2 linked regions of the Coturnix japonica genome follow. The protein of the gene in region 2 purifies or fractionates together with the protein of the main gene of each other region. This does not show direct contact. Links are inferred from orthologs where the notes say so. Each region holds a gene or a part of one and is shown on either strand. Other genes may lie near its edges.

Region 1 (4,453 bases), on a different chromosome or scaffold from region 2:
TGCTCTTCTGTGAAAGAGCAAATAATACAGGTGATATCTTGCCTGAATTGTAAGTTTTAAAATAGAAAATGGGTATGTTTACTTAGTACCTTAACCATGCTACAAGAGTCAGCTGGCTTTGCTGAACTCCTTTCTCCTTGCTGGTTAGAGATCAATTAAAACACCACTCTGCAGTTTGATGGAGAAACTGCCCCAGTTCAGGAGGAAGCTACAGAGGGAGTGACAGAGCACAGAGCAGAGTCAGACCGAATGCACTTGAGATTACAGGACCAGCTGTGTATAAAAGCTTGTGGAAATGAAGCTCAGTAATTACTGATGCTTTCCTTTGGAATATTAGCTAACTGAACTGGTATTACTTATGGACAAGCAACTAGAATGTATTCTCAGAGTGCCAGACCACCAAGATGCTGTATTTTAAGCAGCATCCTTAGAACAGTGAGTTGATGAATGTACCTGAGAGGTCTGATAACAAGTACTGTCTCTTAGGAAGTGACAAGCTATAGAAGATCTTGATGGTTGCTTTCCATCTCTTATCGTAACACATTAACTACGCTGTTGGTGTTTAGTTTACTGGTGCCATAAAAAAATCCTAGTGTAATAAAGTGGGAAACCTCTTTTGTCTGCAAGTATCAAATATTTCTCCTTTCGGTTTTCATCTTCTTAAGTAACAAAGTCTATGGGAAGAGGGAGTAAAATACCCTGGTCTGAATTTGACGCTAGCCACAACATGCTTCTGTGCTAGTGTCATAAAGGAAGGGAAGCATATCTTGGTGCTAAGTCAGAGGGTGGATTTAGGCTGTAATTTAATGTGCACAGCAGCATGTCCCAATCAGCTTGAAAGCCTGTAGTTAGTCTCTTCTCAGAAACCACAAATGAACAGACTTTAGTTGAGGGTGCTCCAGTACTCAATGCAAACTCCATTTCCAAAGTGTGTGTTCTTGCATTCAAGTGAGAAAACTGATTCCTCAGTGATGCCCTCTACCAAATAAACCTACCTTGGATATACTTATTTCTTTTTATGCCATACCTAAAGTACTGCTGTGATGGCTTCTGGTGCTAACAGCAAGTTTGCAGGGTGTGCTCCTTCCTTCTTGGGAGGAGGAAGAAGTTCAAGTACTCCAAATATAAACCTGAGAGCTTCCCGGAGGATGTTTCTCTCTTCCTTTCTTATTGAGGGCACCAAGTTAACACATACTTCAGCACAGGGAGCAGAAGATAAAGCATCTCTTTCAAATGTACTGTTTTAGAATACACACTGTCAAAAAAAGGAAGCCTGAGCTGGTGGCTGCCTTACAGAGAATGAGGCCACATCTGGGCACGAACTGCTTCCTGTGTGGATGCTGTGGTGTCTCAGGGCTTTCTCTCATAAATGAGGAATGCCTGCTCTGTCACTTTCCTTCTAATACTTGCATATTATTCAACTATCTCAACTCAAGAAATCCCATCTATGCAATACATCGATAAATACTTTCCTGATTTTCCAATCTGAGCTATTGAGGTTTACCTTTAACACCAGGTCAAGAAACATTTTCTATTTAAGTTACCAAACAATGGAAGTGATTTTTCATCCATAGCTGGACACAGACCTTCATTCAGATTCTGCTTCTGGCAAAGCACGTGCACAAACCAGTAGAAACAAACACGTGAAAGTCTGTACCTTAAGTTTAACTCTCCAACCCTTCTCATCTCTACCAAAAGCTCAGTCTCATCTTGTCAGGAGCTTATGCTTTTCCTAATTACTCGCACAAAACACGCTTAAATTGTGTTTTGACAGCCAAAATCTTACAGCTCCACAAACAAAAAGAACTGTCAATATTACCAGTGCAGAAGCAAAGGAACCAGCTGCAGAACTAAAAGCTGGGGGGGAGGGGACAGTGATTCATAAGTTCAGCAAAGCATCTGCCAATAGTTTGATAGCAGCTGAATCCAACTGAGTAACTCAGATTCTGCTGCAGCTGGCACAGAGATTAGCAGCACCTCGCTGGCCAAAAATATGCTCAGGAATAACAGCATTGGAGCAAGAGGGGTATTCACTTTGGTTCTGTCCTTTCATTCGCTTTGGTTCTGTCCTTTCATTCGCTTTGGTTCTGTCCTTTCATTCGCTTTGGTTCTGTCCTTTCATTCACTTTGGTTCTGTCCTTTCCATTATGGGGGGAAAAAAAATACAGCCACTGGTTTTCTTGCCCCTTAAGGCCAAGCTGGCACCTGCCCACTATGCGCAGTAGAATCTGCTACGGTAAAATCAGCTGTACACATCTCCCACCCTTACACACACACAGACCTATGCGCTGAGCCGTCATTCCCCCCCCCCATCCCCAAGGTTGCAAGGCCGCACTCAGGACCCTCCGCTCCCACTTCTGCTTCACTGCACCGGCGTTAAACTGGTGCTCGCCCAGCACGCCAAGCGACAAGGCGCAAACTTTCATCGCGTACCGCAGACAGACGCGTTAACAACCGGACTCGGGCAGCGCTGACGCCTCAGGGCCCGGCACGACGCAGCAGTGCCCGCTCGGAGCCCCGCGCTGCCCCCGGCCCAGCGCCCAGAGGGACGGACCCGCAACGCGAGGCCGAGAGGGGGACGCGACACAACAGCCCCGTGTGTGGCAGAGCTGCCATGACAACCGCCCTCACACAGGGAAACCCCGGTACCCAGCCACCCCCCCCCTTTTCCCCCAGCCCCGCCCGCCCCCCCCTCGCTCCCCCTCGGTGAGGATACAGCTTGAAGCCCCTCAGGATCTCCTTGGCCCGCTCGTCCGTGGCCGACATGGTCCTGCCGCGCCGCGCCGCGGGCTGGGCGGGCTGAGCGGGCTGTCCTGGCTGCGCGGGGCCTGGCCGGGAGCGGCGCTGACAGCGGCGCCTCACGACCCCCCGCCCCGCCCCCTCGCACTCCCTCGCACCCGCCACCGGCCGAGGCAGCCAATCCCAGCGGCCGCTCTCCCCGCCCCGACGGGACAACCAATCGCGAGCCGCCGACGCCCCTGCTGGTTGATGAAGGACAGCGGGATGGACCAATCGGACGGCGCGTCCTCCCCCTCCGTTGATATAAGGGCGGCTGCGCAGCTTGTTAAGGCGCTGGGCCCGGCCGGGGCTGAGTGACGTCGGCGGGGACGGGAGGCGGCGCGGGACAAACCTCGCCCGGCCCCATTGGGGACGCGTGTCCGGTGCCGGCCGTTCGTTAATACGTTAACACGGCTTATAACAGTCTGCGTGCGGGACGACAACTGGGGGCTCCGCGTACACTGCCACAGAGCTCCTCAACAGCACTGCCACGCTGAGGAGAGAGAACCGCGAGGCGTCGAACATACGAGGGCACAGCCTATGAGTGCCATTAACGGCACAGCCTATGAGTGCCATTAACGGCACAGCCTATGAGTGCCATTAAGGCTGGCGGTGGGCAGCGCTGACCGCCCCGTTAGCTGACATGGAGCAGCCTTGTTGTGTTCTGGATAGCCCGGCGTTACCCAGTGCGTCCAGAGAAGGGCAGAGAACGCTCCCGAAGAAAAGCTGGCAGGGAGACAGGGAGAGCGCAGGCAGCAGCAGAGCTGGAGAAGGCCAGAGCGAGCGGTTGTGTGTGAGGGAGAAGCCTGCGGGGCAGAAGTACAGCATGCTGCTCTACCCACAGCACAGGGGGCTCCGAACCGCCCCGCTTAGGGCTACAGGGAGGTGGCAGCCAGACAGAAGCGGCTCTCGCAGCGAGCAACGGCAGCGAAGGGCTCCTGACACGAGAGTGTGCCCTGATGTCGGTGTTGGGGCCTTTGTGGTTCTGACATGGGTGCCCAAACTCTCCACGCTGTGTGAGGAGGTACGTGCTTGGCAGCCTCTGCGTCTCAGCTTCAAAAACCACCCATTTCCCCTCCTAAAACTAGGGAAGAAGCGTGTGGTGGGACAGTGTAACTCAGGAGGTTCAGGTTGGATATCATGAATAGGTTCTTCAATTAGAGGTTGGTTGGGTGCTGGAGTTCAAAAAGCACCCGCGCAGTGCTGTCAAACACATGATCTGAGTGGTTCTATGTGGAACCAGGAGTTGGGTTCAGTGGTTTTTATGGGTCTCTTCTAGTTTAGGATATTCTGTGATTCAGAGTGACAGAAACCTTGAGTTCTTTCCTCTCAAAATACTTTCTCTTGCAAGAAAATTGCAGCAAGTCTCACTATTCCCTTGAACCATTTTGTTCTAAAAACCTCACCTTTGCTTTTACACCTCTGGCAGGCATCACAGTCTCTGAGCTGTCACTGCAGGTGAGGAGACACCTCCAGCCTCCTTTCTGCCTCCCCAAAGCACATTGCAATGCTCTTCTCCAAAGGTACTGCTACAAGAGCTTGTGTCCCAGGGAGACGGGCTCATAAGCTGAGGTCTTCTCCCATCTGACACTTGATGGAAGGGGTCAAACAACTGCATATGTGCCACCATCCAGATGTGTCTTTCTCATGGTCTGCGTGAAGTGAGAGATGGTTA
Region 2 (4,435 bases):
GCTGATTGTGTTCTTCCAAGCATAGCTTCTCAATCATCTACTTGAATCCATTGTAAATTCCTTTGCTAAGTAAAGATGTAGACAGGAGATGATATTCTTTAGGCATATTCTCTTACTGAACAATCAGACCTCCTTCACAAGACCCTGACAGCAACAGGGCATCAAGGGGCTGCCACAAAAAGCCAGAGAATTGCTAAGAAGCTTCTTGCTGTTTCCATGCTGAGTACCCGAGGAACTCCAATACTGAGACTTTATCTCTGTAATAAATACAAGATAATTCTACTGCTGCCAAAAGCATCTGGAGAATGATGTGCACGTACCTTCTGGCCTTGCATGTTCCAGGTGGCCACAAAAATTCCAATATTCCTATCAGGGAAATACCTGCTGAGTTCTTCTGCTCCCAGTAAGGCACCACTTGCCAGAAGGCTGCCTTCCAAATAGCTTCTGTGAACAGAAAACCCACAAAAGAGCATCATGATTGGAATACAGATCTAACGCTCAAACATTAAGGTAATCAAGAATAAACCTTTAGCTCATGAAAACAATGTCTTTATACACTATTCTGCTATCTTAATGTTTACCTGTTTATCTGCAGGTGTTTATCTGTTTAATGTTTATCTGCAGTTTTTAGAAACTCAAAGATAAGAAGTAATAGACGTACGAGAAACACAAAGCAACTCAAAGCAGAATTACTTTCCCTGTTATTACCGCCACCCACTCCTTGGATCACTGATCAGATTTGTCCCCTGAGGTCCTGCAGAGCACTGTGTACCTACAGCACACTGTTTTTAGCTGAGTACTTGGTGTCCTTTACCATTCAGCACACTTCCCAATCTGTGCCACATTTGTGCTGTGTGCTGGGAGGTCTTTGCAGAGTGAGGATTCCATACCTTAACAAGCAAAATCAGTCCCCCCTCAATCAATAACCTAAGCTTAACTAATTTATGAAGACAGCCAAGTTGAGTAAGAGGTCAGGGCCCCAGGAGGAGAAAGTGCTGTAATGAGACCCAAGATTATTCTATAAGAATAGTGCAAGATCTGAGACAGAGCGGAAATATTCCCATCTGTTAGCATGCACAGCTACTGCTCCTTATCCTTCAAAACAGCTTACTTAAATATTACAAGTAAACCAACAGTAAATCTTTCTCTTCTGAAAAACAATACACAGCCCAAAGGAGAACACGGAGTATTTGTACCTGTATCTGTACCAGTATTTTCATCTACAAACCATTTCCAGTCTCCTCAGTAACAACAGAGACCTTCAGTCACAAGTTCTCTGCCTCTGACCATCAGGGTTCCAACAAGGCAGCCAGCACCTACCACACAGAGCAGACTTTGCCAGGAGAAGCTGGGGGACGTACCTGCTTCGGACATCCTTGGAACGAATGGGAGTGAGCAGACTGAACGTAGATTTCATGGAGTCTGTGGAGCAATTATCATAGAGCGTCCCGTTGCCATGCAGCCTGGTGTCACTGAAGCTGTTGCTTACCCTCCCAAACTTGTGCTGAGAATAATGGCGATAATCCATTAAATCTGGGTCAATCTTATTTGCTGTCCTCAGCGTATGAGAGGCCACATTGAGCTCCATGGGCGGCAGAGGTCGAGCAGGCATTATTTGGGACAGCCTGGGTTTGCTGCCTGCAAACGCTTTCCCACGCAGAAGCCCACCAAAGGCACTGGAGATCTCGGAGGCTCGTTTCCCCAGGTCAGAAGTGCTTCCTTTGCTTTTCCCCATGGGACTTTCTTCTGAGGCATCTGGTGAACTGTGCAAGGAGTTTGGCTCGCAGCACTGAGCACACGGGGCTGCTCTACCCCTGATGGGAGAGGTAAGAGCTGCTTCCTGCAGGGAACCATTGGAGGAGCTCGTCTCGTTGGGATCGGTCAGACTTTCCTGACTAGTTCTAAACCTCCTCCACCTCTTCCAGTTCTTCTCATCCAAAGATGCAGCTCGCTCCAGCCGGGGTTTCCTGGGAGGCCTTGGGGTAATGGATTTAATTTTCACGTTAGCTTTGAGTTCATCTGGTAGAAGCTTTAAGGTTTCATTCAATAAGGTTTCTACGCGTGGAGGAGATTCAAAGCTCAGAACACCATTGCTGCTGGCTTCCTTCTTTGCTGCTTTGCCTGCTTTTTTAGCTTGCAGGCCCTGCACCGCTCCACCTTCTGCCTTCTGTGTAATGCATGTCCCTGAGTGCTGCGAAAGCCCATTGAGAGAACTCATTCTCCTCCCGGGTACCAGCTACGGGCTCCTCCACACATGCAGTTCCTCACAGCATAGCTTTCTTTCCCTTGCTTACTCCGTGGGCTTTAACAGAGCTTTAACCAAGGCAGGAAGATGTGGAGCCTGAAGATGGTTCAGTCTTTGGTTGAGAGCAATGGGAAGGTGACCGTGTAGACAGCTGCATTGTCTGTAAGATTTCAAGAGGTAAAACACATGAATTTTCCCCAAAAGAAACACGTAGGAACGAGAACTTCCTGAGCTGCAAAACTCTGGATTGCTGAATTCATCAGCTCCTCGTAGGTCCACGTTACAACAACTCAAACCTTACCGTGACCTTGCACCACCGTTATTCTCACCATCACAAGAGCAGGATGCTGATTTCACACCGTTATTTCCCTAAGAGCTCTATGCACCAGCAGCAATGACAGCGAGTTAAACCTGCCCCATCCATCTCTGCCACTTCTAAGGCCGCAGGGCAGCCCTGAGTCACAGCGCTCAGCTCCAACCAGAGCCACAGGACGGGGACATTTCCATCGGCCTCCCAGCACGGAGCGACCATCAAACATCCCCCACCCCGTGATAGGGACGCAATGCTGGGTTCAAGGCGATCCCTTTTAGCTCTTTAGGATCCATCCTCCATCAACACCCCGAATCGAGCAGCCCTGAGGCGGCCGCCACACACGCAGCCCCCCCCGCCCCACCAGCACAGCCCTGCGGCCCCACTCACCGCTGAGAGCAACACGGCCGCGCTCCCTCGCGGTGTTGGCCGCCGCCTCAGCGAGGCCCGGGCCCCGGCACTGCCAGGCGGGCCCGGAGCCGCCCCGCTCCGAACCGGAGCCGCTGCCCGAGGCCCGGCGGAACAGCAGGCCCCGCCGCTCGGCCTTAGCAACGGGCCCGCCCCGCTTTTGGAGTATCGCTACAGCGCCCCCTTGAGGCCGGAGGACTAAAAGGAAGAACCACAGGGAGGAGCGAAAATGTGAAAGTGCTCCAGAGCGCAAAATATCTTTATTTTAAAGAATTTACAGTGTCAAATCTTACACTTAGGAAAGATAGCAGCTCCCAGCTCAAAGGAAGCCTGCTTGAATTAAGATGGCTGGCAGTCTCTACTGAAAGGAGAAAGCTAGAGGGAGCTTCAGCCATAGGAAAAGTCATCACGCTGTGCCCAGACCAGGTTTTTTGCACAGTTCCACCCCACCAGCGTTTTCCATAACCCCTTTGGAACAGATGTAAGGCTATTGAGATCTCATGTACAGGAAAAAAACCAACCAGGGACCAAACACAGGCAGTTCCACAATCACATCGCTTCTATTCCTGGGCAGAAATTCAAGTAAATAATAATAAAAAATAAACAATCAAAAAAACCGATTTTCGGTGGTAAATTCTAAATAAAATATGGCCTAAGGATTTAATAAATATTTAAAGTTTATTTCTCTCTCTTTTGCGGATGATTCGGATTCTTCAGTCGATGTGGAAAGTTGCATATCATAGGTTGCGAGGTTTCCTACATTGAACCTAACCATTTTAAAGTCCAGCTGTAGAGGTCTGATCCACCTACATTTAGTACAACTCGGCTGTAAGCTACATAAGACCTTGGTTATCTTAGTAATGGAAAGTCAAGAACAGTTCTATGCTGATTCTGGCCTTGAAGAGGAAGAGAAACCAAACTCGCCAGCTGTTACCACCTCAACCATTCAGCGCCAGAAGCTCGAGAGAAAGCAAAGTAACCGTATTGCACTTCATAACACTCACTCATCAAATAGTACAGCGTCAGCTATTATACACAGAGCTTCTTTCAGACTATACAATTTGCTTTACAAGTAGTCTAAAACCACAAACTACATACATACGAGATAAGATTCCAAATCAAATTAGGATTAGATTACAGTCACAGTTTTCATTCAATATAGGTCGATTTATTTGGATGAGCTGTGGCCCCCCTTCCCCTCCCACCCCCCCCAGCACATGAGGCATTTCCCAGATGAACAACTCAAATTTCATACACTGATAAACCTGTTTTGTAAGCATTACAATTGTGCATGGTCCTCTTAAGGCCACAGAGTGTCATGGTACAACGTGGACGTGTTTTCTCCCCATGGGGAGGGGAGCATCCTTCAGAAATTAAAGAATCCCTGAAACTATGTCTCCAAAAGTCCCACTAAAAGGGTTAAAATCATTTGAAGGAATAAACTGCCATTGCAATTTATGAATGGTTTTTGT

The links.
Region 1: the proteins of INPP5E (region 2) and PDE6D purify together in Homo sapiens (affinity purification with mass spectrometry; 3 studies listed by BioGRID and IntAct, with this or other methods). This does not show direct contact. The link is inferred for Coturnix japonica from reciprocal best matches to the Homo sapiens genes INPP5E and PDE6D.

What each region holds. Positions count from the first base shown.
Region 1 is NC_029524.1:13,401,754-13,406,206, forward strand, and holds the start of PDE6D (retinal rod rhodopsin-sensitive cGMP 3',5'-cyclic phosphodiesterase subunit delta), read right to left. Parts: upstream 2,884-4,453; 5' UTR 2,767-2,883; coding exon 2,717-2,766; intron 1,155-2,716; exon of another isoform or gene 1-1,154. Other genes in the region: COPS7B (COP9 signalosome complex subunit 7b), read left to right, coding at 3,422-3,802. UniProt on the Homo sapiens protein: Promotes the release of prenylated target proteins from cellular membranes. Modulates the activity of prenylated or palmitoylated Ras family members by regulating their subcellular location.
Region 2 is NC_029532.1:6,367,024-6,371,458, reverse strand, and holds the start of INPP5E (phosphatidylinositol polyphosphate 5-phosphatase type IV), read right to left. Parts: upstream 3,104-4,435; 5' UTR 2,946-3,103; intron 2,406-2,945; 5' UTR 2,219-2,405; coding exon 1,362-2,218; intron 445-1,361; coding exon 321-444; intron 1-320. UniProt on the Homo sapiens protein: Phosphatidylinositol (PtdIns) phosphatase that specifically hydrolyzes the 5-phosphate of phosphatidylinositol-3,4,5-trisphosphate (PtdIns(3,4,5)P3), phosphatidylinositol 4,5-bisphosphate (PtdIns(4,5)P2) and phosphatidylinositol 3,5-bisphosphate (PtdIns(3,5)P2).